2 linked regions of the Daphnia pulex genome follow. The protein of the gene in region 1 interacts with the protein of each later gene in a pairwise test. Links are inferred from orthologs where the notes say so. Each region holds a gene or a part of one and is shown in the gene's direction. Other genes may lie near its edges. The genes, in order: ubiquitin-protein ligase E3A-like and tyrosine aminotransferase-like.

Region 1 (15,248 bases):
TTAGCTGAATTGAGGTATTCGGGTGGTAAGCGGCCAAACCGAATTCACAAACGCTCCAGCTCGGCGTTGTTGATTTGACGCTTAATGAGATGGTTCCATTAGGAGCTGCTGATAGGACTGAGAGTGGTCCTGTGCCGCAAGCTGAATATTAAAAAGTTGCAAAAAGAAAAGAAATTAACCCAGGGAAAATCATGCTTGAATGATGAGGACTTGAAGAATAGACAAATCGGGAAAAAAGTAAAAGTATATTATTATAATTAGCAAACTCTGCGCTAATAAATATCGTGATTGAAACTTACTATTTAGAGTTTCAGCTGGAGGCAGTGGAATTGCTTCTGGACAGACCGTGCAGTTGGGGCAAACAGCACAAGCAGCACAATCTGGGCACGGCTGAGTCAGAAGATTGGGAAAATAACCGAAAAACGGTCCCAAACCTTGTTGTCCTGTAAAGACGACGATACAATTTAACGTGTTATTTAAATACAAATGAATGTTACATGGGGATCACGGGATCACGTTCATTCGTTCAGTGTACGATGGTGAAATATATTTAAAAAATAGCCTTAACAGCTCACCGATCATGGGATTAATTGGCGAATTCGATTGACGGGGACCAGGTCCAAAACGAGATTCCATCACGGGTTGAACGCGGTAAAAAGGAGTAGGAAACAACAACTGTTTCGGCTCTCTGCCGGTGGAGGTGGCAGTTGCTGAGGCCAGCCAAACAGCTGCAATCTAATTGAACATAAATGATCACAGTTACATTTTTAGTAAGCAATGATTTGGTTGACATGAAATGGATTACAGTTTTTGATACAACAGTAAAAGTTTAAGATTCGTTATTGTCTTTCTCTAATACGTTGTATGATAGCATATGCATAGGTTATAAATAACTAGACAAATGATCAACACACTTACCAGCAGGGGAAAGAAGGTAACCAAGCAGCATTTCGCGGTCATTTTCTCTTCTCAGTGCTATTATCTGGTGCTAAAGAAGATGATAGGCAGGAAGAAGATTCGAATGATGAAATAATGAAAAAAAAAGTTCACTATTTATACCCAAAACTACAAGAAACAAGGCGTGGTCTATTTTTTCCGTCAACTTCTTATTGGCCGGGACTTAATGTTGTTGCATTGAGAAAAAAATGTTTGCCTGTCGTCAAACCAACAACCGATTATAAAAAGATTCGAATTAATGGCGATTAATGGGCTAAAAATATAACGCTCGTCAGCATAGCCTTGCATGTTGGAAACGATGTTCAAAACAATAATTCACCTTGATCTTCAATTCAATTAGCGCATCGAATTTCTCAGTGCTATAACTGGTGACAACGAAGTTGATAAGCAGGAAGCAGATTTTCGAATGATGCAATAATGTTGAAGAGTGGTCTATTTATACTAAAAATCTATTTCTATTTTCCGTCAACTTCTTGTTCGGGCATAACATTATTTCATTGAGGAAGCCATGTTTCCTGTCGTCAAGGAGCGATCGAGGACATACATTAAGTGAATAATGCTCAGCTATGCAAGCCGTGAATAGATACCGTGATTTTAAATTCAATTGGCGCATAAGGCTATTTGTGCAAGATTTGAAATGGCTGGCATTACGAAATATCTGATCCACCGCCGTGCAGTGCCGGCGGTTATTTTAATGGCTAATCCACTTTCCTCCTGATGTGGAACTTTTGAATATTACTTTTATACTGAATTATTCTTAAAATAAATGCATTCAGATTTTCATTACTTTCTCAACATTTCTTACCTTCTCCAATCGTTCTCTGTAACCTTGCTATCTGAGATGTTTTGGTAATGTTCTCGTCTGAAGGCCCATTTGGGGTTGGCTCCATGTTTTGAAGACCGGTTTTCTGTCTCCCGCGGTCACGAACTCCTCACGATGAACGCTTCTGGTCAGCCCTGCATGCCTTTTCTGCCGTAACCTTCGTTCACAGACAAGTTTAATTTTAGAATACCTGTTTTTAATAACTGGGGATCAGTGTTCTTTTAATTTAAGCGTTCCTACGGATCGAATGACCGGTAACAAAATATTTTAGTTAACTCAACAGACGACTTGGGCGACAAAAATTGTTAATACAATTAATAATATGCAAGGACGAATTTATAAATACCTGATTGCCACTTTGCCGTGCATGTTGGCGCTAGGATTGATATAATTACACGGCAAAGTGTGACGTTCATTCCGAATAACAGGTTAGAGCTGCTGTCAAAAGAATCCTGTATTAGATTGAGCGCATTCCTGTAAAAGTCGTGAGTGTTAGTGTTTAGTTCTAAAGGTGATAGCCAAATTATTCCAACTCGTTCCCACTGTCGCTATGCCATCTTATGTGAAATGTTGTCAAGGGCAAAGAATCAGAATAAATTACTCGGCTAAATACTTGTCTCGTCTCTGGCCGTATTTGGACTAATTAAAGAATGAGAATTGAGCAGTTTCCTCATCAACGGAAACTTATCTTTTAGTTGGGTTAACATAGTTGAATACTTTCCTACGTATAGCCAATCATGGCATATCAATTATCAGAGGCAACAATGACGGCTGTTGAGCAACAAGTTTGAAACGGCGTCCTTGATGAGCTCACAATAACATTGCTGCCTTCCGTAGTTTGGAAAGTTTTCAACCAACTTGACCATAGATATTAAAGGCGAGTCTTGATTAGGCGCTTCTCAATATAGAAACCTACGCTCAGTCAACGACCCCTGAACAAATAATATAGTAGCCTATCCCCTATCACAAATATTTAAATAACAAATGTAAAGTTCGTCGCAAAATAAACGCAGAGTTAAAATAGCTATAAAATATTATCACATATTTTCTATTGATTTTGATCAATAGTAAATTAAACTTGTGCATCAGGATGAGTCACTGACCTAGAGCGAATTCATAACAAACTTGGACAACAAAGAATCTAGAATTGGGGATAGAAAATTACTTTTAATACAACATCGCAATAATATAACAATTCGCAAGATCGTAACTTAACGTTTAACTGGCTATCAGTACATCTGGTGATGATCGGCGACTCCTACCAATTATTCCACGAAGAACATATTCATTTACCGGGGATATCCCTTTGAGAAAGGCGTGTCTATGTACAAGGACAAGTCATTACATCTTTTAATGTATGCGCTGGCGATACAGGTTTTTTGTACGCTCGACAGAATGGAAAGCGCCTATAGCTCAAGGTTCTAAGCACTGACCTCAACATCCAAAATAGAACTCTGCATTTCCATTTCTAGAAGAAGAGCAATGTGCTGGGTAGTAAGTTAATAAATAAAATAAACAGGGGATCTAAGATTTTAAGGCCCTCCAAATATTTCCTTTGTTTTTAACGACGGGGAACAAAAAAGAAAAATAAATAAAATGCACCTTTTTTACCTTTGGATGTTTGGCTGGATGGCGGAGCATGTTGCTCAATCGCGTCTGATCTCCTTCGCCGGAAGTAAGAAGAGCAAGAGCAAAGATGGCCATTTCAGCTCCACCTGCATTCACAGCCAGTCGGGACGAAACGTAAAAGACCCAGGGAATACCAGCTGGCGGTGGCATTTGGTTCTCCGTCACCCACCTAGTACCTAGTTCTTCGAATTCCCGAAAATGTTTGGATGATTTAATGCACCCCATACTCGTCTGTCAACTGTATCGTGGGAGTAAAAAGGTTTCTTTACCTCATATGGTATAATTCGTGATGAAGGGGCTTTTGAATTTCATTTTTGTTAAACCTGCAGCGACAGTTCATTTGATGGGGGCTTCATTAGTGTCAGATATTAGATTCCTTCACTGCAAGTAATTCATCACCAGAGCCAATTGTTTTCCCCAAATGTCCGTTTTATCGGCAAAGATGCGTTTTACAGCATTCTCGCCGATGTCGGTCGTGACCTGCAGATTCTAGAGTCTGAAAAGAGAATTATTTTAACTTTAACACTTAGTCACAAGTTGCTAATGTCTTACTTGGTCTTGCTCAATAATCTTGCTTTTCACGTAGTAGTAAGAGACTGGCTGTAGAACATGATGAATGAAGAGATCAAATGTTATCAATCTTAACTTTCTTCGCTGGTGAACCTGGAAAAGTAATCCAGGACAATCCCAATGTAGACTATAGGTTGGAATTCTTCTTACTTTGTTAAGTACTTTTTTTGTCATCGGATTCTTCCAGAGCAGAGGTGACTTATATTCTACAGTCACACTGTACTTGAAAAGCCTTGCCGTTGTGACATGCTGTGGAGATTATTAGTGATTTTGACCCAGACACAGCACACAATCTTCTTGTAGCACTGAATTTTTGGGGTAATAAGGGAGACGTAAAATCTAATGCACATGGGCTGTTTTGTTTCCAACATTTTCCTCAATTTGACTGCTTTGTCTCATCCACGTTTACATGGGGTTACGGAAAACCCATGGGTAAGACATGTTAGGCAATCGAGAAACAAAAGGAAACATTGGCGTGAACGGACTCATTAGCCAAATGTTCACTATGTATAATCAAACAATTCAATAATGATGAAAAATTTGCAGCAATATGGTCATGGTTTATAATTACGACAGCCTCAACTGTGCTGTGGAGTGCCTGAAAACTTTGGCACATTAGAATGCAGACGAACTTCCGTGTACGGAAAGCGAGATTGACTACTTGGATTATTTTTTTTCGGCGCGAGTTATGAACGTCATAGGCGAAACACGATATTGGATTTTAAAAATGAAACAAAAATCACAGCTCTTCTCACAGGTGCCTTGCTCTTACTAACGCAGGTAGCTTCAAATCTAAATTTTAATGAATTTGACTTTTCGGACCAACTTCTTTTCTATGGGTGTTCTATAGTCATACAGTTTGAATCGGCTAAATTTCGTGCAATTATATTAATAGAATAATATTTATGTTGTATAGAGAGCGAGATGTGTGAAGGTTAACAATGTGGACGAACATTTATACAAATTCTGCGACTTTTTGAAAGTTTTTTTGAGCTTGGGCAGCTATATAGCTGCTAAGAAAAGACTATTTATGCATCCATCTACATACATTGGTGATGGTATTCAGTTGTGTTTTACAGTGCGTCGTTTCATACTAAATTGCTGCTGGTGACGGTAAATTATGGGGAAAGAAAGTTTGGTCTCGTTTAGTGATCCTATTTACAGTCGATTGATAGTGCCAGTTCTTTATCCCATATCACTATCCCACTCGGAGGTCAAAAGCTACTTTTTAAAAATTTCATAGATAAATTGTTTGTAGTATACATCAAGTTGACGAAGCAAGGCTAATACATAATTAGATTGCCGATTTATAAGAGAAAATGATCGTGAACACAAATGTATCCTGCTGCTATAAATTATATTATTGTCCAATCCAGTATTGAGCGTTAAAGGGGTTATTTCATGGTTACATTATAAAAGAAAATTCAAAGTACGCAACGATAATGATACACGAATTATTGCAGTGTCCATAAATCAAAGTTACGTAAACGTGACATGTAATGAAGATACAGTGCCAGAGAGCTTTCAGACAATCTTCGGGTTTTTATGCCTGTGGTACGTTTTCCCAAACGCATTCGGCTGTGAGATCTTTGTCGGTGCCCAAATTGTTATTGAAATTGAACACCAGAAAGTTCCCCTTTGAAGTGTAAGGTGTGTTGGCCGCACCCACTGTAACTGGCGTAACAAGGGGAATCACCTGCAAAATAAAAAGGCAATTTTTTTTTGCATGAAATAGTTAACATTGTTGTGTTTTTTTTTAAATAACTAGATGTCATACGGAGAGCGTGGTGCTTTCCCCCAACGAGGTGCATGTAAGCTGGACATTGGTTTTGGGGTAATAAGCGACCAAAGCGTACGCGCAAACGATGCTGCTTTTTGTTGCTGTTACGCTAACGGAGATGGTTCCGTTGGGAGATGCTGACGCCACTGAGTCTGGTCCTTCGCCGCAAGCTGAATATTAATAAAACGTTGTAATAATATAAAAGGAAACCGAAAATCAGCATATAGAAAATAATATTTAGATGAACAAATTTTCAAAGTAAAAAAACATACGTAAAAAACAGATTGTAGGTATGCTATATCATCAATTAAGAACTTACTAGTAATAGCTCCGGCTGGAGGAGGTGGAATTACTTCTGGACAGACCGTGCAGTTGGGGCATACATCACAAGCAGCACAAGCCGGGCACGGCTGAGTCAGAAGATTCGGGAAATAACCGAAAAACGGTCCCAAACCTTGTTGTCCTGTAAAGACGACGATACAGTTTAACGTGTTATTTAAATACAAATGAATGTTACATGGGGATCACGGGATCACGTTCATTCGTTCAGTGTACGATGGTGAAATTTATTTAAAAAATAGCCTTAACAGCTCACCGATCATGGGATTAATTGGCGAATTCGACTGACGGGGACCAGGTCCAAAACGAGATTCCATCACGGGTTGAACGCGGTAAAAAGGAGTAGGAAACAACAACTGTTTCGGCTCTCTGCCGGTGGAGGTTGCAGTTGCCAGCCAAACAGCTGCGATCTAATTCAATATATAAATTAACAGTTGCATTAGTATTTACATGGTTAACAGTTAAAAATGGTATAACAGTAAAAGTTTAAGATTCGTTATTGTCATCTATAATACGTTGTATAATTGCATATGTATAGATAAATAATAGTTAAATAAATAGGCAATATAGTTAAATGATCATCAAACTTACCAGCAGGGGAAAGATGGTAACCAAGCAGCATTTCGCGGTCATTTTCTCTTCTCAGTGCTATTATCTGGTGCTAATAAAGAAGATGATAAGCAGGAAGAAGATTCGAATGATGAAATAATGAAAAAAAAGTTCACTATTTATACCCAAAACTACAAGAAACAAGGCGTGGTCTATTTTTTCCGTCAACTTCTTATTGGCCGGGACTTAATGTTGTTGCATTGAGAAAGAAATGTTTGCCTGTCGTCAAGCAACAACCGATTATAAAAAGATTCGAATTAATGGCGATTAATGGGCTAAAAATATAACGGTCGTCAGCATAGCCTTGCATGATGGAAACGATGTTCGAAACAATAATTCACCTTGATCTTCAATTCAATTAGCGCATGTTTGTGCCAAGATTTGAATCTATGGAATTACGAAATATGTGATCCATCTTATAGGCCTACGCACAGCAGTGCCAAATTGCTAATTCATTCTTGTCATGTGGAACTTTTATCCGTTTCAAATTTTACTTTAATTTAATTATTCTTAAAATATTAGCGAATATTAGTTATTCAAATTTTACCTCTAACCTTGCTATCTGAGATGTTTTGGTGATGTTCTAGTCTCAAGGGCGTTTGAGTTGGCTCCATGTTTCGAAGACCGGTTTTCTGTCTTCCGCGGTCACGAACTCACGATGAATGCTAACGACCAGCCCTGGACAACACACATTTAATTATAATTTAGAATATATACAGAAGGACGAAGAGAATATCTGATAGCCAATTTGCCGTGCACATTGGCGACGTAATTACACAGCAGCGGGCGATCATTGCGAATAACAGATTAGACGTTACCAATATCTCGTGTTAGTTTTATAAGTATAGCGCGTTCCTATAAAGTCAGGAGGAGTTCTAAAGCAGATATAGCTATACATATTATTCCCAGTGATTCCCACAGCTGATAAAGACGGTTGCTATGTGATCTTGTGCAAATTAGTTGTCAAGGGCAAAGAAAAAACAGGTCCATCGGAATAAATACTCGAATAAATGAAATGTTCACACTACATCTGAAAGGACCTTATTTGGACTAATTAAAGAATGAAATAGGCATTGAGCAGTTTCCTTCCAACGGGGACTTATTTTCAAGTTGGGTTAGCATAGTTGAATATTTATACTTTCCTCCGTAGAGCTTACATAACCAGTCATATAGCACTAATCACTTATATCAATTAACAGAGCAATGGCGGAAATTGTTCAAGTTATTTATAATAAACGAGTTTAGAAAGTTTTCGACCAACTTGATCATGGTATTAACCGTGAATCTTTATTTGGAATTTCTCAATAAACAAACCTACGCTCAGTCGCTCAGCATTCAACGACCCCGGAACCGAGCCCAGAACAAATAATATAGGAGCCTATCGGAGCCTATATAGCCTATACATCACAAACATTACATTAAGGAATTTTGAGTTCTTCATAAAGCATTAATAAACGCGGTGTTGAAATAAAATCACTAGTCTAGATTTCACAGTAGAAAGCTTTATTAATTCACTTTTTGTTAGTTGAATCGAGTTGAATCGAGTATAGTAGTATTATTGGCATACTACATATTTGTTTCTGCCCACTTGTGACAACTGTTAAAATATCTGTATCAATATAGGCATTCACTGTAATCAGGTGTTGTTTTCAGAAACGTGTTATCGGTATATATTCGAGGCATGGAGACTCTGGCTACCTTTTCCACTGGCTATACCGATTCGAGTCCAAAACGAGTGCTGCTATCCTATTTCGTAATGACAATAACGTTACACTAAAATTACATACACAATAATCGCACGTTACCATTTAAAATTTAAAATATTGAATCACGCTTAGGCCTATCTGACTGACTTCAATTGTCATTTTTTTTTTGTATTCTGTGACCCGGAGCATGATATCTTCACTGCAACAACCTGGTGAACCGATTTTGGGAGATGGATTGTGTGCAGCTATATTTGTGTAGTAGTTAATGGGGTTAATGCTGGGTAAGCGTCATTAATTGACATATGTCTGTCAACTCGGCTTTCTGCCCATGTGTGCCAACTGAGTGTGTGTGCCAGTTAGAATATCCGAGAACATCAGTGAAATAGGATTCAGTGTCGATAGTCGTTTATTTACTTTATAGATAGATTGCTATTGATTTATTGTAGTCATATATACTGGCTGAACGCTTTCGTGGCTATAGTAAATATTGGCATGTTTTTATGAGACTAAATGAGTTAGCTGTTGTTCACCAAAGCAGAATGCGTACGTGCTCTAGATTCTGTAGCATATGGCTGTGCGCAATAGACTGATGCTGAGTAAATTAACAACTGCTTTCCACCATTTAAGTCAACGCGATATCAGTATATAAACTGATCGATTCCAGTTACAAAAGGTACTTCGTACTTCGTCGTTCAATCGAGTCATCATCTCTACTTTTCACTGAAGCTTCAAAGGTAAGTTGGACTAAAACCAGCACACAATTGGTTTTTATACTAAACATTTTAGTTAATAGATGAAATAATTGTTTTCACTGTTGTCTATTTCTGAATTGCACACTTTTTTACTCCTTTACATGATAAGAATGGCGAAAATGGGCTATGTTGCATTGGCTTTAGTTGCAATTTTCTGTATTGTTCACGTCCAGGGACTTTCTGATGATGTAGAAGCTGCATGGGAACAATATCAGGTATAAAAACCGAGATAAAAACATAATGGCCATGATTTGGGACTGTATTATTGCATGGCAAATTGTTTCTTAATTTAAAGGCTCATCATCCGAGTAACACCAAATCCCACACTGACGCTGCAAAGCGCAAAGGAAACTTTGTTAAGACACACGAAATGATCCAGAAGCACAATAAGAACAAGAATGCCGCATACCAACTAGAACACAATGATTTCTCTGTCATGGTTTGTTATTGTTACATATTTTTAATTAAAAAAAAATGGGAAATTATTAGTTCATCAATCTTTTAAAAAATAGGATGAAGCAGAGAAAAAACTTTACACTGGGGCAGTTGCTCCATCAGGTTCGAGATTTCTGATTGCCGATCAGCAGTTGGATGATTCTATGCGCCAGATACCAACTTCCGTAATTATTTCTTTTTTCCAAATCCGTTTTATATCTATAATCATATATATTGAATCAAAATGTATTACATCATTTCAGTTGGACTATAGAACTAACACCTGTTTGGCGCCAGTTAAAAATCAAGGATCGGTAATTTCTACAATCGATAACCATCATTATTAACAAAACTGGTTTCGTAACTATTCACTTCTTTTTAAAATATTTACAGTGCGGAAGCTGTTGGGCTTTCACTGCCATAGCGCCGCTTGAGTTCGCTCAATGCAAAAAGAGTGGTGCAAAAGTTATTTTGAGGTAATTATCATTTGGAGCAATATATTTGAGTCATTTTTCGTGTCAGTGTGGTGTGCGAAGAAAGGTTCGTTTCGATACAGGAATCTTTATAATCGCTGAAAAATGACATTTTGCTCAAATAGTTAACTATTTTCACTATTAGCGAACAACAACTGGTCGACTGCGACCCTAACAATGGTGGTTGTAACGGCGGATGGTATACAACCGCTTGGGAATATCTAAAGAGTGGATCAGCGAGACAGTCGGCCTATTCTTACACTGCTGTTGTAAGTAATTGATTTGTTTGTTTTTTTTTTAATTGAAAAAATCTTCCTATACCTTTTTATTATCTACAGAAAGGAACTTGCAAGTTTTCCACGTCCACGATTGGTTCGAAAGTCGCTACGTACGGTAGCGTTACATCCAAATCACCATCCTCAATGCAAGCGGCTCTCGTGAGATACGGTCCCCTTTCAGTGGCTATCACCGTCATCAACTCCTTTTACTCTTATAAGTAACTATATTTCCAAAAAAAGAAACACTTTTTTTGTTAAATATTTATTTAGCCTATTAATTATCTGTGATGTCGGATGAGAATTTGTTATTCATCTAAATTCTGTTTCTCCAATTCAATTTGTAAAATAGGAGCGGCGTTTACACTGATGCGGCGTGCGACAATAAGGGCGTGAATCACGGTGTGGTTGTCGTAGGATGGGGTAATCTTTCTGGAGTTGATTACTGGATTGTTCGTAACTCATGGGGATCCGGATGGGGAAGCTCGGGCTACATTTTAATGCAGCGGGGTGTTAACAAATGCAGTATCGAAACTTACCCAGCCGCTGTTGCATCCGTCGTCTGAAAACATTAAAAGGTCATCTTTTCTACGTAAACAACCATTGAAGAAACAAGTTCTTTTGGAGATTTTTCTTATTTATGTTTCACTGTCTGCAAATCTGTGTGGGTCACAGACTCACAGCCTTTTAGATGATGAGCGTGTTAATTTTATATAACTACTAGGTAAACTTGGGATACAATACACATAAATCAGCATAGATAAATCGAAATTCTGGCCTATTCTTTTCGCTTCTCCATAAAGAAATGTCTGAAATATGATCCTTCTCGAAAAAACCCCGTTTGAAATTCATTTTGTTTCACCTCAACGACAGGTATCGAAATTCGAGTTGTCTGCGGCGGTCTTAATTAATTCCAAAATATCACACGAACTACTAGTAATTTTAATCCGGATCTTTGAGCGTTAGAATTGTCTTTAGGTTCTGAAGTCTAAACAAGATAGACCTCATGAATTTTTGTTAAACATAGGAACCCCCCAAAAAATTAATTAAATAAAAATTAGTTGCACAAGGTTTTAGTTTTACTATCCGATCATAGAGGGCTTTTGTCGAGCAGCACATTCAGTGCGCGAAGTGTTGTCAAAGAATTTCTCTGCGTAAACGAAATAGCTAATTTTTTTTGCCATATTTGCCCGAATAACGAGAATTCGTTTTCAATATTAATTGCAGGTTTTGAGCTATTTACGTTCCACTGGTCAACGTAATTTCAATCAAAACGCGTTTTCCCAAATCAGGAATCGTACAAAGTTGTAAGCAGATAATGGCTCGAATTCCATTATGCTAGTCATCTGTGTCCCTTTTTCTTTCGGTCGCTTGAAGTTTATCAACTACTCACGGCCTTCCGATTGATTTCATTGACGTAAATTATAATCATTAAGCCAAAAGTAATTGCAACATGGCTGAAAATGGTAAAAATGATGGTGGCAATATCTTGAGGTATTTGGCAATTTTAATATTTAGATGTAACCAATACTAATGTTTGTTTTTGACATGGTAGTGCTGGGGACAGTCAAACACTGGACAAGCGTGTTGCAGCTCGTCAGTTAATCAAACGTTATTATTTCCAGCTGACTGAAGGATGTGGTGACCAAAACTGTAACAATGAACATTGTGCCTCTAGTAAAAAAGTTCAAAATCTTTCTCCAAACCAAGCTGCTGCTCAGGTATCAACATAAAAAATAATTTTAGAAGAAGCCAGTCATTGATTGATTATATTGCATAGGCTCTGGATTTATTTGCCCGCAAAGGAAGGCTTTGTGTTGGCACTGGCAAGAATGAACTACCGAGCACATTGTTTCCTGAAATTACACCTGCTAGTACTAGTGCCATCTCTGATCAGCAATTGCTCAAAGTATTTAACCAATTGTTTCATTTCAGTAGTCTCATTAATCAGGCTAGATTTCCAATTTGAAGCAGGGATTGTGGGTTCCTCCAGCTCTGAGTGTGTCTGGCCATCCTGCAAATGACAAATCAGGCATTTCCAAACCAACCAAGTTGACAGAAACAAATTTTAAGCAGATCGTTGACAATTGCAAAGAATATGGAATCTATTCAAAGCTAGTTCACACATTGGGACATGTCTTTGCCAATCCTGAGCTGTTGGGGAAGAGTTTTATTACGCAAGGAAACAACTCATGTACATCTACATTAGGACATGGCCAGCTAAGTAAAGAACAACTTCGCTCGATGGAGGTGGATTTGGATAAAGATAAAGACAGCCAAGAAGCCGTCGCAGAACCTCGTCTCCAGGACGTTGGCCAAGAAGTCAGCGTTGATATCTGTTGCGTCCGCCGATCATTCGAAGTCTTGAGCTCCATCGAGCCACAAAACTACGAAAGCGCCTTAGTTCACGCCCTCATTCTTCTATGCGAAACTATTGAACTGGATATGAAATTCGGGAGGCAAAAAGCTGAAGTCAATTTGCTCAACGTCTTCGTCATTGTTTTCGAACTACCGTGGCTTGGCACTGGTGACTACTTTGAAAGTGTTTTGCCGACCTTATGCCGCGCCTGCGCTCTTTTACCTCTAACCCAACAAGCCACTCTAGTCCGATTTTGGGCGGCTCACAGTGTCCCCAATCTAAGAAATCTGGTCCAAACACTTCAACAGCTCATTAGTTTTAGAGTGTTATCAGGAGATTTTGGGCGAGACTATGCCATCAATGATGACAATACTATTACTGCTTGTGTCAAGGTATAGTGGTTTAAATATTGTTTTGCAATGCTTACCCCTCTTATTCGTTGATTTTCCAATTTGTCTAACAGGTGATGCGAATACTGTACTGCGTCAACATATTTTCTTGTACCACACCTAGCAGTAAGTTGACTGGTGCATCAGTTGACGCGATGGAAACAGACGATCCTTCTAAAGATTCCTTCGATGTCTTTTCGTTTGGAATCGATCCTTCCCCTAGGTTGGGTTCCAAGCAAAACAAGGTAAGCTTTGACTGACATTTCGAAACAAAATTTGTTTTGATCCATTTTTTACTTTGCTAAATAGACAAGAAAGAATGATCCACTTATGTCGGAACTTGGAGTCAACGTTCTTGACTGTCGACAACCTCCGGTCGCTTTTGCTGACTTCTACAACGAACCGCTAAGTGATGTTGTTGAGATGGATCGTGATTTTGCCTACTTTGCCGCTGCCTCCGAAGCCCCTCCTTCGGCTTCCAACAATGCATTGAAGATTAGTTTCATGAACTTCCCATTCATTCTTACACCGGCCGCCAAAGCCCTCGGTCTCTATTATGATAACCGTATCAGAATGTATAGCGAACGTCGTCAAAGTATTTTCAACAGCGTCATGAACGGACAACCAAGTAATCCATATCTAAAGGTATTTATCCAATAGAGGTTTTCTATTTCTTAAAAAGATTCTAACTAAACTTACTTTTTTCTATCCCTATTTCACTAGTTGAAAATTCGACGTGATCATGTCATCGACGATGCCCTTATTGGTTTGGAAATGGTAAGTTTCAATCAGGGATCTAATTAGGAAACGTCCTTATTGACTAATTACTTACTTAACAGGTAGCCATGGAGAATCCTTCGGATCTCAAGAAGCAATTGGTGGTGGAATTTGAAGGCGAGCAAGGCATTGATGAAGGTGGTCTGTCGAAAGAGTTTTTTCAGTTAGTCATCGACCAAGTTTTCAATCCCGACTACGCCATGTTTGCCTTCAACTCCGACACTCGCAATTTCTGGTTCAACCCTACGTCGTTTGAAAGTGACGCCCAATTTACGTTGATTGGCATCATGCTCGGATTGGCTATTTACAACACGATCATTCTAGACATTCACTTTCCTATGGTTGTCTATCGTAAGCTTCTTGGTCGTAAAGGGACATTCGAAGACCTTCAAGAACTCGATCCAACTCTTTGGAAAGGTAAGTCTAATTTTCCTCTAAACAAGTCTAAGTTTATATTTAAAAGTTTTGTATTTTTGCGTGAAAAGGTCTGACAGAACTTCTGGAATACCCGGATTCTGACATTGAAGAAACACTTATGCAAACGTTTAGCATATCTTACAAAGATGTGTTTGGAGTCGTTTACAATCATGACTTGAAGGTATTTCAATTTTATTTGGCTTGTGAAAAATTTATTTGCTAAAGTCTATTTTTATTGGAAATTAGGAAAATGGCGCAAGTTGCAATGTGAACCTTGAAAACCGACGTGAGTTTGTCGAACTCTACGCAGACTATCTGCTCAACGAGTGTGTCGGTAGGCAGTTTGCAGCCTTTCGTCGCGGTTTTGCTATGGTAACGGAAGAAAGTCCTTTGGGTACGCTCTTCCGGCCGGAAGAAGTCGAACAATTGGTTTGCGGTAGTCATATTTTCGATTTTGAAGAACTCCAAAACGCCACAGAATACGATGGCGGATTTACTGCTCAATCTGAAACCATCAAACATTTTTGGTAACCACGTCAGCAGTGTCCCTTATGTACATTCTTATTGATGTCCTAATTTTGATTACAGGTCAGTCGTCCACGAGCTAAGTGTCGAGGATAAACGACGTTTGCTTCAATTTACTACCGGTTCTGACCGCGTACCTGTCGGAGGATTAGGTCGATTGAAACTAATAATCGCTCGCAATGGAGCCGATTCAGATAGGTAATACAAGATAGATGAATAATTAATTTAATTAATTAAAATGTATGCTATCCGCAAATTTTTACTAGGCTTCCGATGGCTCACACGTGCTATAACGTGCTTCTACTTCCCGAGTACGATAACAAGGAGAAACTAAAGGAGCGTCTGATGAAAGCAATTGATTACTCGAAAGGTTTCGGTATGCTTTAACATAATGAAATCATCTCGTGTGTCGTATTCTGGTTAGCGGTTCATA
Region 2 (15,237 bases), on another chromosome or scaffold:
GATTTCACGAGTCATTCTCTCAAAGACACGATGAGTTCTATTGGTACTGGGGTAATATATTTCAAATTTACTGACTTAAACCTTCTATCTTGATGCTTACTCTCATCTGTGATTTCAGTACGATTTGTCAGCTTCGCAGTTCTCTCCTGATGGCAGAGTATTCCAAGTCGAATATGCCATGAAAGCCGTCGAAAACAGCGGGTAAGTCTACGTCTAATGTCTTCGTATCAGTAATAATAAGTCATTTTTGACAATAGTACTGCTGTTGCCTTGCGAGGCAAAGATGGTGTTGTATTTGCTGTGGAAAAGCTGGTGACATCAAAGCTGTATGAAGCTGGAGCGAATAGAAGGATATTCAATATTGACACTCATATTGGAATGGCAAGTCCTGAAAATTAAGCTGTTTTATGAAACTACAATTAAAAACTCATGCTTTTTCTAGGCTGTTGCTGGCCTTTTAGCTGATTCCAGGCAAATTGTGGAAACTGCCAGGACAGAAGCTTCAAATTACCGTGCTGAATATGGAGGCAATATTCCTGTCAAAGTATATTCTAGCATTGGATAATTTTGATCATTCAGCTAAACTTAATATTTTTAAAAATTAGTATCTGGCAGATCGTGTTGCCATGTACAAGCATGCTTACACTCTGTATTCTGCTGTGAGGCCATTTGGTTGTTCTGTTGCTCTTGGATCTTATGATGAAATTGATGGCCCTCAGCTTTATATGGTGGATCCATCTGGAGTTTCCTTTGTATGCTCACTTTTTCCACCAATTTTTGTTTATGATCTAAAAAATATCAAAATTGTCCATATTTTAGGGATATCTTGGATGTGCTATGGGGAAAGCAAGACAGGCTGCTAAAACAGAAATGGAAAAGCTCAAGCTTAAGGATATGACCTGTCTAGAACTCATCAAAGAAGCTGCCAAGATGTTAGCTCTTTTTTTAACTATTTAATTCAGGTTAATAATTGGCTTTTTTTTTGTACATGCAGCATTTACATTGTCCATGATGAAGTCAAGGATAAACATTTTGAACTGGAGCTGAGCTGGGTAGGTGCTGTCACCCAAGGACGTCACCAGAAAGTCTCTCAGGAGGTGTTTGCTGAAGTTGAGCGATACGCAAAATCTGCACTTGAAGATGATTCAGATTCTGGCAATGATGATATGTGAAAATGGGAAATGAAAGAAGGGACCCGAGTTAATACACTTTGGAATACAATCGTCTTTAATTTGAATTCAAATGAATAATATCCAAAGTTCGCTAACTCCACCTAAATCCAGGTGTAGACCAAGCTTAAGTGTCTAACATCAAGGATTAGTTAAAATTGGAGTATTGTTGCCTAAATTTATATTAATTGCGTAGGGAATTTAACGGAGAATCCTATTACGTATTCATGTATCCGTACATGAAACTGAAAAATAAAATGACATAAATATGTTCACCTTTTTCATCATAACTCTTGTCATAACATTTTTCTAATAATTTTAGAGTATTCGTACCTTTTCTAATATTTTTTACGACGTTCAAGTTTGATTGATATTGTGTAATTTATATTTTACGATTTTAATTCTGAGAAAATTCATACGTGGTTGTGGCGCACATGCCACACCTTTTTACGAACGCACCCCATAACTGGGCGGCAAACAACAGAAGCCAAACAACAAGCTGACGAAAACTAGCGAGTCAAAATGCTTACACCTGTTTTAACATTTTATTAGGAAAATGAATTGGTGCAACTTGTTAAACTAGACTGGAAACTGTGTCAGTGGTAATTTTGTAAAGCAGATCTTCCCTACACCAAAAAGAAACGGAAAAAGTGGTATTTTTGCGATATTTTGTATTCCATTTTAAAGTGTCTAAAACAGCTTGTATCTTTTCAGTTAATCTCGTTGTACAATACATATTTATTCAATCATGGAAGACCAAAGTAAAAAATATGAAGGAAAAAACAGTGTAATTGAATTTGTAGAAGGCTGGGATATGATTCAGACACTGGGTGAAGGAGCTTTTGGAGAGTAAGAAAATTGTAAGAATCATGCAAAATATATAATTTAACAAATTTGTTCTAGGGTGAAACTATTAGTTAATGCCAAAACAGGTGAAGCAGTTGCAATGAAAGTGATTGATCTCAAGAAGCACGCAAATGCTGCTGAAACAGTCAAAAAAGAAGTTTGTGTGCACCGGATGTTGAATGATGTGCACGTGATAAGGTTTTATGGGAGAAGGGAAAATGGCAATTTTGAATTCATTTTTTTGGAATATGCATCTGGTGGAGAATTATTTGACAGAATTGGTAATATATTAATTTTTAAAATAATACTGTCTGCAATGATAACCTGTTACTCTAATTTCAGAGCCTGATGTGGGAATGCCTCAAGTAGAAGCTCAGCGCTATTTCAAGCAGTTAATTGCTGGTGTAAGCTACTTGCATAGCAGAGGGTAATTATCATAACATAACTCAAGTTTTTTCATCATTTTTTAAACAAATGTCCCCTTAAGATTATTTTACCAAGACGCTTTCGCGAATCTCGAACATACAACATTTCTTCTATATTTATTATAGGATTGCTCACAGGGATATAAAGCCGGAAAACTTGCTTTTGGATGCCAATGACAATTTGAAAATATCTGATTTTGGAATGGCAACAGTTTTTCGATTTCAAGGTCGAGAAAGGCATCTGGACAAGCGTTGTGGGACGTTACCTTACATCGCTCCTGAGGTTCTCTGTCGCAAGTACGCAGCAGAGCCAGCCGATATTTGGTCTTGTGGCGTCGTTCTTGTTGCCATGTTAGCCGGAGAATTGCCTTGGGATGTCCCATCTAATGATTGCCCTCTCTACACATCCTGGAAGGAATGTCAGATCACGCGATTGCCATGGACCAAGATTGATACATTGGCTCTGTCATTACTCCGGAAAGTGCTGATGCCGTTGCCCGGGAAACGTTACACTATTCAGCAAATAACTAATCATCAATGGTTTCAGAAGAAATTCAAAGTTCCTAGTATGAAATCCTTGTTTACTATTTGATGCCTTTCTTAACTTCCGACTTCTCTGAATTGAAGGTACATCTCTACGGACAGAGGAAAACATGCCAGTCTCTAAACGCCTATGCTCTGACGTAGTGGATGCTGGTTTATCACCGCCCTCATCCGATGCAACCCATTTGTCCTACTCTCAGCCTGGACTTGGATTCTTCTCCGGTTCTCAACCTGTCCATCAAAACGACACTAACGATGATCAAGCCCCTAACAAGCATCTGCCAGGCGCGATGTTTAGCTTCTCTCAACCTGCTCATATCGACGATATGCTACTGAACTCTCAGCTGAACACACAAACTGCTTCGGGTTCAAGCATCAGTTCGCCTCTCCAAAGACTTGTCAAGAGAATGACTCGTCTTGTGGCAAAAGTTAGCTGTGAAGAAGCAATCAAACATTTGAGCCAACAGCTAATCAAACTCGGCTACACTTGGAAAATTCACACTCCTGGCGTGGTATAACAAATAAAATGCTTAAAGAATATTGTAGTATGTTAACGTTCTTTTTGCGTTCATAGGTAACCATATCCACGCAAGATCGACGGAAAATGCAACTCGTCTTCAAAGCAACGGTTTACGATATGCAGACCATGGTGTTACTCGACTTTCGATTGTCGAGAGGCTGTGGACTTGATTTTAAAAGACATTTCCTAGCAATTAAACATAAGTTGGCAGATATATTATGTTCTGCACCAGTTACTTGGTCCATTGCCACTGCTACAAATAGCATTCCTTAATCTTTCAATTGTAATATTGTTTTTAAATACCAATAATGTTGCATTACACTGATTCATATGTAGCACAAGAGTCGCTTTTATTTATTCTGGATGACAAGGGACTTACAGGAGAATTTGATCAAAAAGTATTAAGACTGAAAGCAATTAAAATGGAAATTCAAAAAATCCTGGAGGTTTGGAACACATTTAGAGATGAAAAATGAATTTAGGACCAAGTTCAGATACATTAATATTCTTGAGAATTGGCCTTTCCTTTAGCAGCCCCCTTGGAACCTCCTGCTGGGGCAGTTTCGGTCTTCTTGGGCAGCAGAACAGCCTGGATGTTGGGCAGCACACCACCTTGAGCAATAGTAACTCCTGAAAGCAGTTTGTTCAACTCTTCGTCATTTCGGATGGCCAACTGCAAGTGTCTTGGAATGATCCTAGAGAACATTTGGATTCAGCAAGATATTCAGACGCATAATTGAAATAAGGTTTCTACCTGGTCTTTTTGTTATCTCTTGCAGCATTTCCTGCCAACTCCAAGACTTCAGCAGCCAGGTACTCCATCACGGCAGCCAGGTATACAGGAGCACCAGCACCCACACGTTCAGCATAATTGCCTTTGCGAAGCATACGATGGATACGGCCGACTGGAAACTGAAGTCCAGCACGGCTCGAGCGAGACTTGGCCTTAGCCTTTACTTTACCTGTTTTGTTAAACATTAAAGTAATAAAAGAACAAGGACTTTGTGCTTTACAACAAGCGGCATACAGTCACACAAACAGTTCTTGGTATTCAGGGAAAAATTAAGAAGAAAAAAGGTTAAATAAAAAACGTGGATTTTCCTTACCTCCCTTTCCACGGCCAGACATTGTTTGATTATTAAGTTTTAAAACGAAAAAGTCCAAATTGTAAGAACCAAAGACAACCCTAGCTTTTCGGCAGACCTTGCAGGAAGTGACGTCGAAACCAACCGTTTTCTTTTTTCATCAACTCTCTCTACAACAGGCACGCCATCTGCAATTTCTTTATTTCAAGGCGCGAAAACTACGAATTAAAAAGGTAAATTTTTTGAAAACTTTTAGAGAAGGAAAAAAATTGTTAAATGCGTATGAGAAATCATTTTGCAGAAATTACGTAATATTTTAAGTGACTTGTGCTACTTCGGTTCTGATAATTTTCCAAATTAAATAATGGCAATCGGGTTGTGCCTTGGGCGGCAGCATGTTGCAGAAAAATGGACCACACGGGGTTGTTGTAATACAATAAGCAGCGTAGGCAACTTATTGGCATGCTTGAAAAATGTTTCACGAGAACTGCACGATGAGGTGTTGAAAACATTAACAATGTTTTATTACTTATTGGAATTGCCATATCAAAACCTTGTAACTATATTTGAAGAATAGTCGATTGTTTTTGCAGTGCCCAAATATTTGCTTGGAGGAAAAAAGTTATTAGGAATTGTGTTGTCCCAGTCCATTAGATTCAGAAAATATGATAAAATAAGGTAAGAAACTTTCAATCGCTATCCTTTTTTTAAAGTAATCAAAGTACACACAACCGATCACGTGTAACAGAGTGAAAAACAGAACGATGGCGAATGTGTTGTTTTCGTTAAAACATTTTGTAACAATTGCTGAATATGTGAGAAAAACTTGTAGTAGTTGTTTTTCTCGTACTACTACCAAATCTGTCGGAGAAAAACATCAACAGGTTTCTCAAAGTCAGACATTTATTCACAATCTAAATTTCGTAAAGGTTGGGGGGACGATATTTGCATAAAGATACAATTTGTTAAAATCGGAAACGATGTGAAAAGGCGAATGCCAAAGCTACGCAAACGGTCCCTTTTTCGTTCAAGGCCCATTTCTAGCCAAAAAAAAATCATGTTTTTCCTGGAGGCATAGACGTACTCATCCACTTTTCGGAACCTTGTGCAATGTCAGGTAGGACACAAATCACCAGTTACGTCATTTATAAAGACTAAAAGGCCCTGGCAACAGAATACTAAAAGATGTCAGTAGCGAGCGAGAGCTCATTTATTCAACCTTACATGGAAGTTTTTTTTTTTTTTAAAGAATTTCTTGTTTGGATTCTTTCCCCCCTTTACTGTAGTGGCATCCCACGCTTACGTGACGGTTATGAAGGCCAGTGTCCACATAACCATAAGGGAATTTCTAAATAACAGTATTATTAAGAAATATAATTTTAAAATATTTTAGCTTTTATTGTTCTGACCTTCAATGAAAAATAAAGTCAAGATGATCATTTCTGGTTATAGATTCGCCACCTGTAATTTTCTTCTGTCAAGGGCATCCCGATGGAGGATCTACCTACTCTGTTTTATCAACAATCATGGTAAATTGGTTCAACATTCTTCCAAGACATTTTTAAAAGTAACTTTAATTCATCGGGAGTTGACTTTCACTAATGTTGCATAACATAATATTCAGATCGAACTATATTTCAGCATTTTGCACCTGTTCTAAATCTCATTTAATGCCCCAAGAGAAAATGTGTGGTTATCTGCGCTCATTTTGATATATTGCAGCTTCTTCAAGGCAGATTTGGGGAATCTAAGCACGATGTGCATTTCCGAAATTGAAAACCTGTTTTTATTACGTTATTCCAAAAGACTTGCCGTCTACAGGCGTCTACAATTCTTTTTGTTGAACCACCAAGTCAACTGCTCGGCAGTTGTATCAACCATTACAGAGTTGAACGGACCATTAAAAAATCACAGTTACAGTTATTTTGTTTTCAAACTTGTCAGTTAACTCTGATAAAAAAAGCAACTTAAAACATCGTAGACATTTCCAATCGGAAATCATCAAACGTAGTATACAAATTTTGGAATTCGAAGGTCTTTCTATTATATATTTTTCATTCTCTGCCTTTTTGTTGTCTAGATACACAGGTGAACGAGATAGACCAAAAGGTTAGGGCATATTTTTAGAGGCCCCGCGGGAGAGAGAGAAAAAAAGCTGACCACGGCCCCCAAGGAACTACACGGGCAAGCCCATAATGAATGGACCAATGAGAGCAGGTAAAGTCTACCGTTCCACCAATCTCCGACTGGATTCTCAGCCAGACCCCATTCGTAAAAAACGTTTACCACCTTTTCGGTAGTATATAGCAATCGGGTATCGTGTCGCTTGTGTATACTCGCTCTTGATCGTCGGTCTGCACCACTTTTTGTGCGCGTTCAAATCTCTGTTTTAAGGTTGATTATCTATTAACAACCTGGAAAATTTTTAAAATTAATTCAAGTGACGTGTCATTTTTTCTTTCAGTTAGCTCCAGGTGTTTTAGTTTTGCATCCGTCACCATGAAATCGCGACGAAGTTGGTCTGTGACAGCGTCTGACCTTGCCAGAAACACCTTCAACCCAATCCGGACTGTGGTGGAATCGATGAAATTGACGCCCAATCCCGAGAAACCTATGATTGCCTTGTCTATTGGTAAGCAAAATTAGACTTTAATTTCTTTTTGGCACATTTTTCTGACTATTGCGCAGTTGTTTTTGAAACATTCGCCTTCTGGGGATGTAAAACTGTATTTTTTTTAAGAATTAAAAGAAAGATGCCGCCGGCTTGGCGGCACTTTTTATCAAACAGCTGTGGCATTACGCCAAAATCCATGCAAATTTTCTTTCAAAAAATTTTTGTAACGAAGATCAAGGTGAGATCCTCCCCCTTTTCTTTCACTGATGACTATGTACTTACGTTAAAAATACGTTTATTTTGCTTCTTTTTCGTATATTTTATTTGCCCTTGCCCAAGTCAGCTTGCCCTCTGGTAAGGAATCTTCAAATTTAGGTTTACTGGTGTTGTAGTGAGAGTAATTATGCAATTTCGCTCCAGGTGTTACTTGTGAACTGCGCAAAATATTTTCAACTCTATGATCTCTTGTCCTATTTTAGACCGGTTTCGTCGTTGTTTACAATTTTCTGCATATTTCAATTTTTGCGTTGGTAGGTGATCCGACGATATTTGGAAATCTGTGCCCGTCGGAGGAAATTGTCGAGGCCGTCGTCGAGAGTGTTCGCTCCATGAAATACAACGGCTATGCTCCCAGCACTGGTGAGTTGTTACAATGCCTTGGAGGCTTCGATTGGCCTCCTAATTTCGTTAAGGTTAGGCTAGGTTGAATTCAGTCATTCATTTTCTGAAAACTGCTCTCTTTTCGACTTGATTGGCAACAGTCGAAGGTATGGGGTCAGGCAATCGATTGGGGTCATCAGGTCAAAACAACAAATGATGCTTGTTACATTTTGAAGGGACTGACGAGGGTTCAGCCAATCATCTGACAGAACTTTCTCGTCTTTCCATTTGTTTTTCCCCATGATCTCATTTAGATAACAACCTTCTCTTTCTATCTATGGTCCACAGGCTATGAAGAATCTCGCAAAGTTGTGGCGTCTTATGTCTCCGTACCTGGAGCCGCTGTTGAGGCTAAGGTAAAACATTTGAATGTTTTATTTTTAAAATGTATCGCTCTCCGTTTTGATGGAAACTATTTTTGCCTATTAGGACATAATTTTATGCTCTGGCTGCTCTTGTGCCCTTGATCTGTGCATTTCTGTATTGGCCAACCCGGGACAAAATATTCTTGTGCCTCGTCCCGGATTTCCACTGTATAGAACGTTGGCGGAAGGATTGGGCATCCGAACCAAATTTTACGATTTGAAGGTCAGGGTCATTATCATCTGTAGGCATGAATGTATTATTAACTTTCCTTGTTTTACAGCCGGAAAATGGTTGGGAAGTCGACCTGGAGCAACTGGAAGCACAAATTGATGACCAAACGGCGGCTATCGTGCTCAACAATCCATCTAATCCATGCGGATCCGTGTACAGCCGTGAACATTTGAGTGCCATTCTTCAAATTGCAGCTCGCAATTTTGTTCCCATTATTGCAGATGAAATCTACGACTACTTTGTAATTGAATTAGTTTAAATTTTGTAACGTTCTTTAAATTTTATTTTATTTCTTTTTAGGTATTTCCGGGACACGAGTTTCATCCGGTTGCTTCGTTAACGAATGAAGTTCCCATTCTCACTTGCGGAGGATTGACTAAAAGGTTTCATTTCAATCTATTTCTAGTCAGCCATTTGTTGAAAGTTGAACATTTTTAACAATTACTGTGTGTATTGAATAGGTATCTTATACCTGGCTGGAGAATGGGCTGGATTGTTGTGCACGACAGGAACGAAGCACTATCACAAGAGGTATTTCTTAATTTCTGTTTGAATGAATTATGAAATTAAATTGCGCCGTCATCAGGTTAGGAAAGGGTTGCAGAGCCTTAGTCAGAGAATTATCGGCAGTAGCACCGTCCTGCAAGGTGCCCTTAGTCGAATTCTGACGCAAACACCACCCGAGTTTTTCCAGTCAACCATCGCACAAGTTTACGTAAGAATGATCTTTGCTTATCCAAATATTTTATTCTGGGTTATCTAATGCTCTCGTATGACCTATAACAGGATAACGCCCAACTGGCACATCAACTACTGTCTGGCTTGCCTGGAATGAAACCAATCATGCCTTCCGGGGCAATGTACATGATGGTAAACACCATCAAAACGAGTCTAAATAAGGACTTTTATTTATCATCGGGTTTTTATTTTTTAGGTTGGTGTAGACATGACCAATTTCCCCGAGTTTGAAAACGACTTGCAATTCGTGGAACGGATGGTTACGGAACAATCTGTCTTCTGTCTTCCCGGACGAGTAATTACTTTTAATTCTTTTTCTACAACTTGATTTGATAATTTTATGTTATTCAGTGCTTCGATTACCCCAACTATTTCCGCATCGTCTTAACGGTACCCGAGCTACAACTGCGTGAAGCTTGCCACCGTATTGGCCAATTTTGCACGTCCCATTTTGTGGCGCCCATCAACCTGGGAAAAGAAGAAGCAATGTCCAACAACCACATTCACCACGAGCTGCACAATGGAATTGTCACAATCATAGAGCCTTGACACCTTAACGAGAAAAAAACAGATTTGATTTTGGAATATTTTTATCAGTAGTCTTCTACTAGTAGGCGTTTTTGCATCGGTTCGTGCAGAAACGGAAATTTTTGCCGTCCACTTTCACCCGGTACAACATACAACTCTCCCATCCATTCACCAGTGGATCACCTGGACGCAAACGTATTTCTATTTTATAAGGTGCGATATTCAACGATTTAAAGTTTCGGAAGATTTTTAAGGTTTTGACAAAAAGTTAATAGCTACTATTATATACAAATTCTTGCCGATTATGTAACGTTACAGACTAAGTAATGTTACAAGCCTAAAATAAGAAAACAAAACCCAATACAATTTTTTAAGACTAAACTTCCGTGTATTTATTTTTATTTAAATTTGACAGACCTAAAAAACACTCTTGAACATTTCTGAAAAAAAAAGATATAAAATTTTTTTTTGCTTTTTGATGACACGCAAGGGGGATAGGGTAGTAAGAGGATGGTAGTAGGAGCTGAAAACGATACAACGCTGGCTTTCGTGTGTGGGGAAGTCGGATTGAGAATTGGGCTTTTTCCCTATTAATCATCCTTTTAAATATAATTTTTTTGTTTCCTTTTAAATAATGTTATTTACAAATTGTTGTTTAAATGCAGCAGAAAAAAACAAACATTCGCTGCATGTGTGGGTTGTGGAATTACACGGGAGAGAAACGAAACTAGAGCAGCGTGAGAAGCTTTTTGTTTGTTTTGAATGATGACGTTTCAATGCATCAGTAATGACTTTGTGAATGAAAAGAAAAAAAAAATGAAAATAAAGTTCATAAAAGCGAATCGATTTGGCAACGATCCTTGAACTAGGGGCGAAGCAATCTTCATCCAAAAATGCCTAAGCTCAAGCTGCATCCAAGTTGCCTTCTCTTTGAAGATTCTCTGGAACAGCAAATATTCAGAAGGAAAAAAAAAATTTAAATAAATCCATCAATAATAATTGTAAAAAAAAAAGGAAAAGAAACAGAAAGGATCATTTGAAAGGGTGGGATCTATCTGTCGACTTTTAGAAGTTCACCACCATTTTGGCCCACTTGTCATGACCAGATTATGTGTTGTGTATGTGTTGTGTATGTGTGTTTGATAATGTGAAACTTGCCCTCAAACGGGCGAGGGATTAATTATTTCATCAAAAGTAATTTGTTGGCACTGAGTTCCACGATGGCCAGACGCACCGCAGTTAAAACAAGAGTTATTGCCCGGAATTGGGCTAGGACCGCCAGCAGAGGATTGAGAACCAGGGGGTGGTGGTCGGCTATAATCCGTGGCCCCACCTTGGTCAGAGCGAGCCATGAATAACGGTGGTAAGTACGGTATTTCCATCAGAGACGGGCGACCATTTGCAGCACTCGATCCTATAAGAGTCCAAAACGACATTTTTACATCAACAAAAGACTTGACAGAGGACGAAACTTTATTTTGCATACCGTGATGAGAACCAAGAGGTTGAGCGACGATTTGACCCACATAGGATTGGGGCGAATAGATCATGTCGTGTGGACCTGGTGCCCGCGTATTGCCGGGAAGTCCGGCAGAGTTTGGCGGCGGTCCCGAAGTAATAAAAGTGAACGGATGCTGCGGAAAAGGTTGAGTTCCGTCTCCTAGTAGTTGATATAAAAATGAAGTATTTTGACAGAAATGAGCCACAGCTCTTCTTCGCTTCGTTATTTCAACTATTTTCAAGTAATTTACCATTAGGCAAATGTAGATATTGGTACGAGTAGACTGACAGAGTTGGAGCAGGAGACTGTGCCGGCTGCTGTGTTTGTTGTTGGGCTACCCCAGCTGCCTGGGCTTCCAAGTGAGGCGGGGGCGTGCTGCTATCGACAATGAAAGACGTGCCCTGCACTTGGGTTGAAGAAGGTTGGACGACCTGCTTCTGTTGCTGTTGAGCGGGTTGCACAGCATAAGAAAGACTGACGGGGAAAGACATTTCTCTCGGCTGCGAAGCTCCTCTGCTAGCCGTCGTTGAGATTTGCTGCTGTTGCTGCTGCTGCTGTCGCATCGGACCACCAGCATTAGTGTTGGTCGCGCCCATCGGTCTTGGGAAACCAATGTTATTGGCACCGCGCAGCGAAGCATTGGCCACCGTCCCCGAATTGGGCAGACGAGTCTGTGGTCTGGTTCCTGTTTTACAATAAACTAACATGATTGTGAGATATGACTTGAATCGAGATGTTCAGAATACCTGGATTGAGCACCATCACAGTCTGGGGAACTGGATAGTGTTTTCGATGATTATCTCTAGGGGCAGTGCTACTCGAATCTGTCGGGCTGCTCGGAGGGCTGCACGTTTCCAAACTACTGCTACCACTGCTCGATGATGATCCTGCTCGATTAGTTAATGAATCTTGCTGCAGCTGCTGTTGGTGATTCTGTTGTTGTTGGTGATGATGTTGCTGCTGTTGATAATGCTGATGTTGTTGTTGTTGCTGCTGCTGCTGATAATGTTGCTGATGTTGTGATGGTTGGTTCTCGATCGGTGTTGTCGCAATTCGCTGACTGTTGTTGAAGGCTGGCTGGACGTTGGGTGGGCCCATGCAGGTTTTGACCAAACTCGGCCGCGTTGCTGCTGTCGACGCTGTAGATTTGCTGTTGTTGACTTGCTGAACCACTTTGGTCTCTTCGTTGGGTATTGCTAGACCGCCGTTCGACTTGTGGTGGCACTGATTCAGCACCTTACGCAAGTGACTGATGAAATTCGGGCTAAGTCCACAACTGAGAAATTCCTGGTCGCTGCAGTTTATAAGCTCGGTAGAATTCAGGTGCTCAAATTGTCTCCAATGTTTGGGCAGACGGTCTTTACCCAATTGCTCCTTCAACTGGGTGGTGACAGAATCCACATTGGCAGATCCGTTTGACTTGGGGCTGTTTCGATTGCGACGAATCGTTGACCGATCATTCTGACCAGTCTTGATTCTACTATTGCTATTGGTACTGTTGTGGCTGCTGCTGCTGCTACTGCTGCTGCTGTTGGATCCATTGTTGAGAGATCGTTCTGAGATATCTGGGGGGCTGCTTTGAGGCTGCGGGCTAGGAGTTGATGTAGGGACAGGAGAGACACTGTCAGAGGTTGGCCTGAGCCCAGGTAAGCGAGATTGCATGCATAGGTAGATATCTCCCAGTTTAACCTTCTCTTCAAAAGTGAAACTAGGGTGATGTAGTGCCATAGTAAAAATCAGATTTAACTCCAAACTGGACTCGAAGGTGATGTCTGGACCAAACATTTTCAAGTCAGAGCAGGTGCTGCACAGAATCCTGTAAATGGTGTGGGCTACAATCCTGTTACCAGCATGGAGCAGAGTGAGAGCCAAGATGAGCTTCCTGCGGGATCCCTCATCATGCAAGTCAACTTCATTCAACTGCAGGCAGTTTTTTTCCAATGCTGCAAGGATTTCTGCATCTCTGGCTGATGGTGTTTTATTCCTGGCCAGGAAATCAACGCATGTGTTGAGAAACCGTAGCTCGAGCGGTAGACAGATAGAGGCCAAAGTGCAGAGGACATCCAACCGTTGGTGGCTGGGCTGACGCGAGAACCAAACGACTATCTCCTCCTTGCGCACCATTTCTCTTCTCGTCGGCAGGGCCCGACCGTCCGCGGGTTCAAATATATTTAAAACTCGCAAGCGACGTCAACACGAATTTCAAAAAAAGTTTCCCTTTACTTCAACTGCTCAAAGATATATAAATGCATCGAATATGAGCTAACGAATCGACTCGACCAAAATTCCTTTTTTACTGCAATAAACCGACATCTAGTATAGGAAGAAATACGGTTGCCAGATCTCTTTTTGAAATTTGCATTAATATCGCTAATTACATTTAATCCTTTTAAATCCCTTTACTTAAATATCATTCAAGCCAAACGTAAATTTTTTAAATATTTTTATTCCATGAGAATTAATCTAACTCGTAATTTAATTTTTTCAGGTCGAAAATCGTCGCGTGCAATTTCGTGACCTAAATATATAACGGCAGGGTCAGGGAAGAGCAAATGAGAGATAGCAAATCAACAACTGTTCAAATAAATAAATATTTCTTAAATATTGAATGGCCTCTTGAGTATTTGTGGATCAGGGTGTGTACACATGGTCTTATCATTTGAAAAATCGTTCTTCATATAATGAATTGAAACTGTGACAGCACTGGAGAAATTTTATTGCATAGAGGGAGCGATTATGACATAAACCAATGGCGGTTCTCAGTGGCCTTTCAATCGAGCGCAATGTTTACAAAATACGAAGCATATTCTTCGTTGCAAGAAAACTTTCGTCGAAAGTTCAGACTTCAAAAAATAGTTTTCTGTATTGTCAGGAATTAGTAAGGTAAACATTTGAAAACTCGTTCGTCGAGTAAATAAAATTAATAAACTACTTTTATCACACGCCGGTGTTTTATTTTTACAGGAAACACGATTATGAAAATTTTCTAGCAGCTCTTCTTTTGCCACCAGCTTCACGCCAATCTACGATCGCTGTGAGAGCTTTCAATGTTTCGTTAGCTCAAGTTCAGGATCAAGTCTCACAAGGTACAATTGGCCAAATGAGAATGAAATTCTGGTCAGAAACATTAGAAGCTGTGTATCAAAACACACCACCAGCACAGCTAGTTGCTTTGCAGCTTTACGAAGCTGTCCAACGTCATAATCTCTCCAAAAGGTGGCTGCAAAGGTTGATCTCCAGTAGAGAAAATCACTTGTCTTCCAAAGCTTTTCAATCTCTTTCAAAAGTAGAGGATTATGCAGAACATTCTGTTTCGTCTGTCCTGTACCTTACATTGGAGTCTCTCAATATTAGAAAAGTTGATAGTGATCATGCTGCTAGTCACATTGGGAGAGCTCAAGGACTCGTTACACTATTGAGAGCAATCCCATATAATTCAAAAAGGCAACAAGTGTATGTGCCTCTTGATCTTCTTGTTCAACACAAAGTTTCTCAAAATGATTTTCTAAGAGGTTCTGATGACAAGAAAGTGAAAGACTTGATCTTTGATGTAGCTAGTACAGCTAATGCCCATATTCAAAAGGTAAAGTCATTCTTTATTTGTTTAAATTCGTTTCATTTAAAAACGTCTTTTCTTATTAGGCAAGAACTATTATCCCAAAAGTACCGTCTGAAGCGAAGATTGCGCTAATGCCTTTAATCAGTGTGGATTCGTATTTAGATCAACTGAGGGCAGCGGATTTTAATGTCTTTGATCCGAAATTATCGCAGCGGAACAATCTGCTCCCTTGGAAACTATGGTGGAATAAGTTTAGGGGTAAAATTTAGTATTTCAATTGCATTTATTTAATGTTTCATCCAAGACATCAGCCACCTTGTTATGCATATATAAAACAAACAAACAAAAATAAAGTATGATGTGAACTAATATGATTGATTAAGCTCTTTGGAGGTGGACCTGGAATTTACAAGCTGGCATGGTTGTCACTTCAGCAGTAACAATGCAGGTGA

Evidence for each region.
Region 2: the proteins of ubiquitin-protein ligase E3A-like (region 1) and tyrosine aminotransferase-like interact in binary tests that used the Homo sapiens proteins (3 or more experiments, as listed by UniProt). The link is inferred for Daphnia pulex from reciprocal best matches to the Homo sapiens genes UBE3A and TAT.

What each region holds. Positions count from the first base shown.
Region 1 is NC_060025.1:1,158,727-1,173,974, reverse strand, and holds the start of ubiquitin-protein ligase E3A-like, read left to right. Parts: upstream 1-11,424; 5' UTR 11,425-11,502; exon of another isoform or gene 11,503-11,575; 5' UTR 11,576-11,801; coding exon 11,802-11,842; intron 11,843-11,903; coding exon 11,904-12,069; intron 12,070-12,128; coding exon 12,129-12,257; intron 12,258-12,304; coding exon 12,305-13,099; intron 13,100-13,170; coding exon 13,171-13,341; intron 13,342-13,405; coding exon 13,406-13,741; intron 13,742-13,819; coding exon 13,820-13,873; intron 13,874-13,935; coding exon 13,936-14,290; intron 14,291-14,358; coding exon 14,359-14,471; intron 14,472-14,536; coding exon 14,537-14,817; intron 14,818-14,878; coding exon 14,879-15,013; intron 15,014-15,081; coding exon 15,082-15,202; 3' UTR 15,203-15,248. Other genes in the region: uncharacterized protein LOC124202141, read right to left, coding at 1-141, 300-443, 576-735, 6,690-6,731; crustapain-like, read left to right, coding at 9,276-9,380, 9,461-9,604, 9,678-9,914, 9,994-10,076, 10,219-10,342, 10,412-10,569, 10,701-10,914. UniProt on the Homo sapiens protein: E3 ubiquitin-protein ligase which accepts ubiquitin from an E2 ubiquitin-conjugating enzyme in the form of a thioester and transfers it to its substrates.
Region 2 is NC_060028.1:8,535,501-8,550,737, reverse strand, and holds tyrosine aminotransferase-like, read left to right. Parts: upstream 1-5,128; 5' UTR 5,129-5,266; exon of another isoform or gene 5,267-5,275; intron 5,276-6,040; 5' UTR 6,041-6,117; intron 6,118-6,310; 5' UTR 6,311-6,598; intron 6,599-6,668; 5' UTR 6,669-6,783; coding exon 6,784-6,805; intron 6,806-6,823; exon of another isoform or gene 6,824-6,982; intron 6,983-7,052; coding exon 7,053-7,220; intron 7,221-7,736; coding exon 7,737-7,841; intron 7,842-8,150; coding exon 8,151-8,218; intron 8,219-8,291; coding exon 8,292-8,450; intron 8,451-8,508; coding exon 8,509-8,700; intron 8,701-8,759; coding exon 8,760-8,842; intron 8,843-8,920; coding exon 8,921-8,990; intron 8,991-9,045; coding exon 9,046-9,174; intron 9,175-9,245; coding exon 9,246-9,329; intron 9,330-9,393; coding exon 9,394-9,492; intron 9,493-9,548; coding exon 9,549-9,746; 3' UTR 9,747-10,106; downstream 10,107-15,237. Other genes in the region: serine/threonine-protein kinase grp-like, read left to right, coding at 1,918-2,018, 2,073-2,296, 2,358-2,442, 2,567-3,006, 3,068-3,495, 3,558-3,776; histone H2A-like, read right to left, coding at 4,003-4,198, 4,258-4,465, 4,610-4,631; ell-associated factor Eaf-like, read right to left, coding at 10,886-11,139, 11,212-11,385, 11,477-11,926, 11,973-13,350; NADH dehydrogenase (ubiquinone) complex I, assembly factor 6-like, read left to right, coding at 13,976-14,109, 14,191-14,809, 14,869-15,054; trafficking protein particle complex subunit 6b-like, read right to left, coding at 15,164-15,237. UniProt on the Homo sapiens protein: Transaminase involved in tyrosine breakdown. Converts tyrosine to p-hydroxyphenylpyruvate. Can catalyze the reverse reaction, using glutamic acid, with 2-oxoglutarate as cosubstrate (in vitro).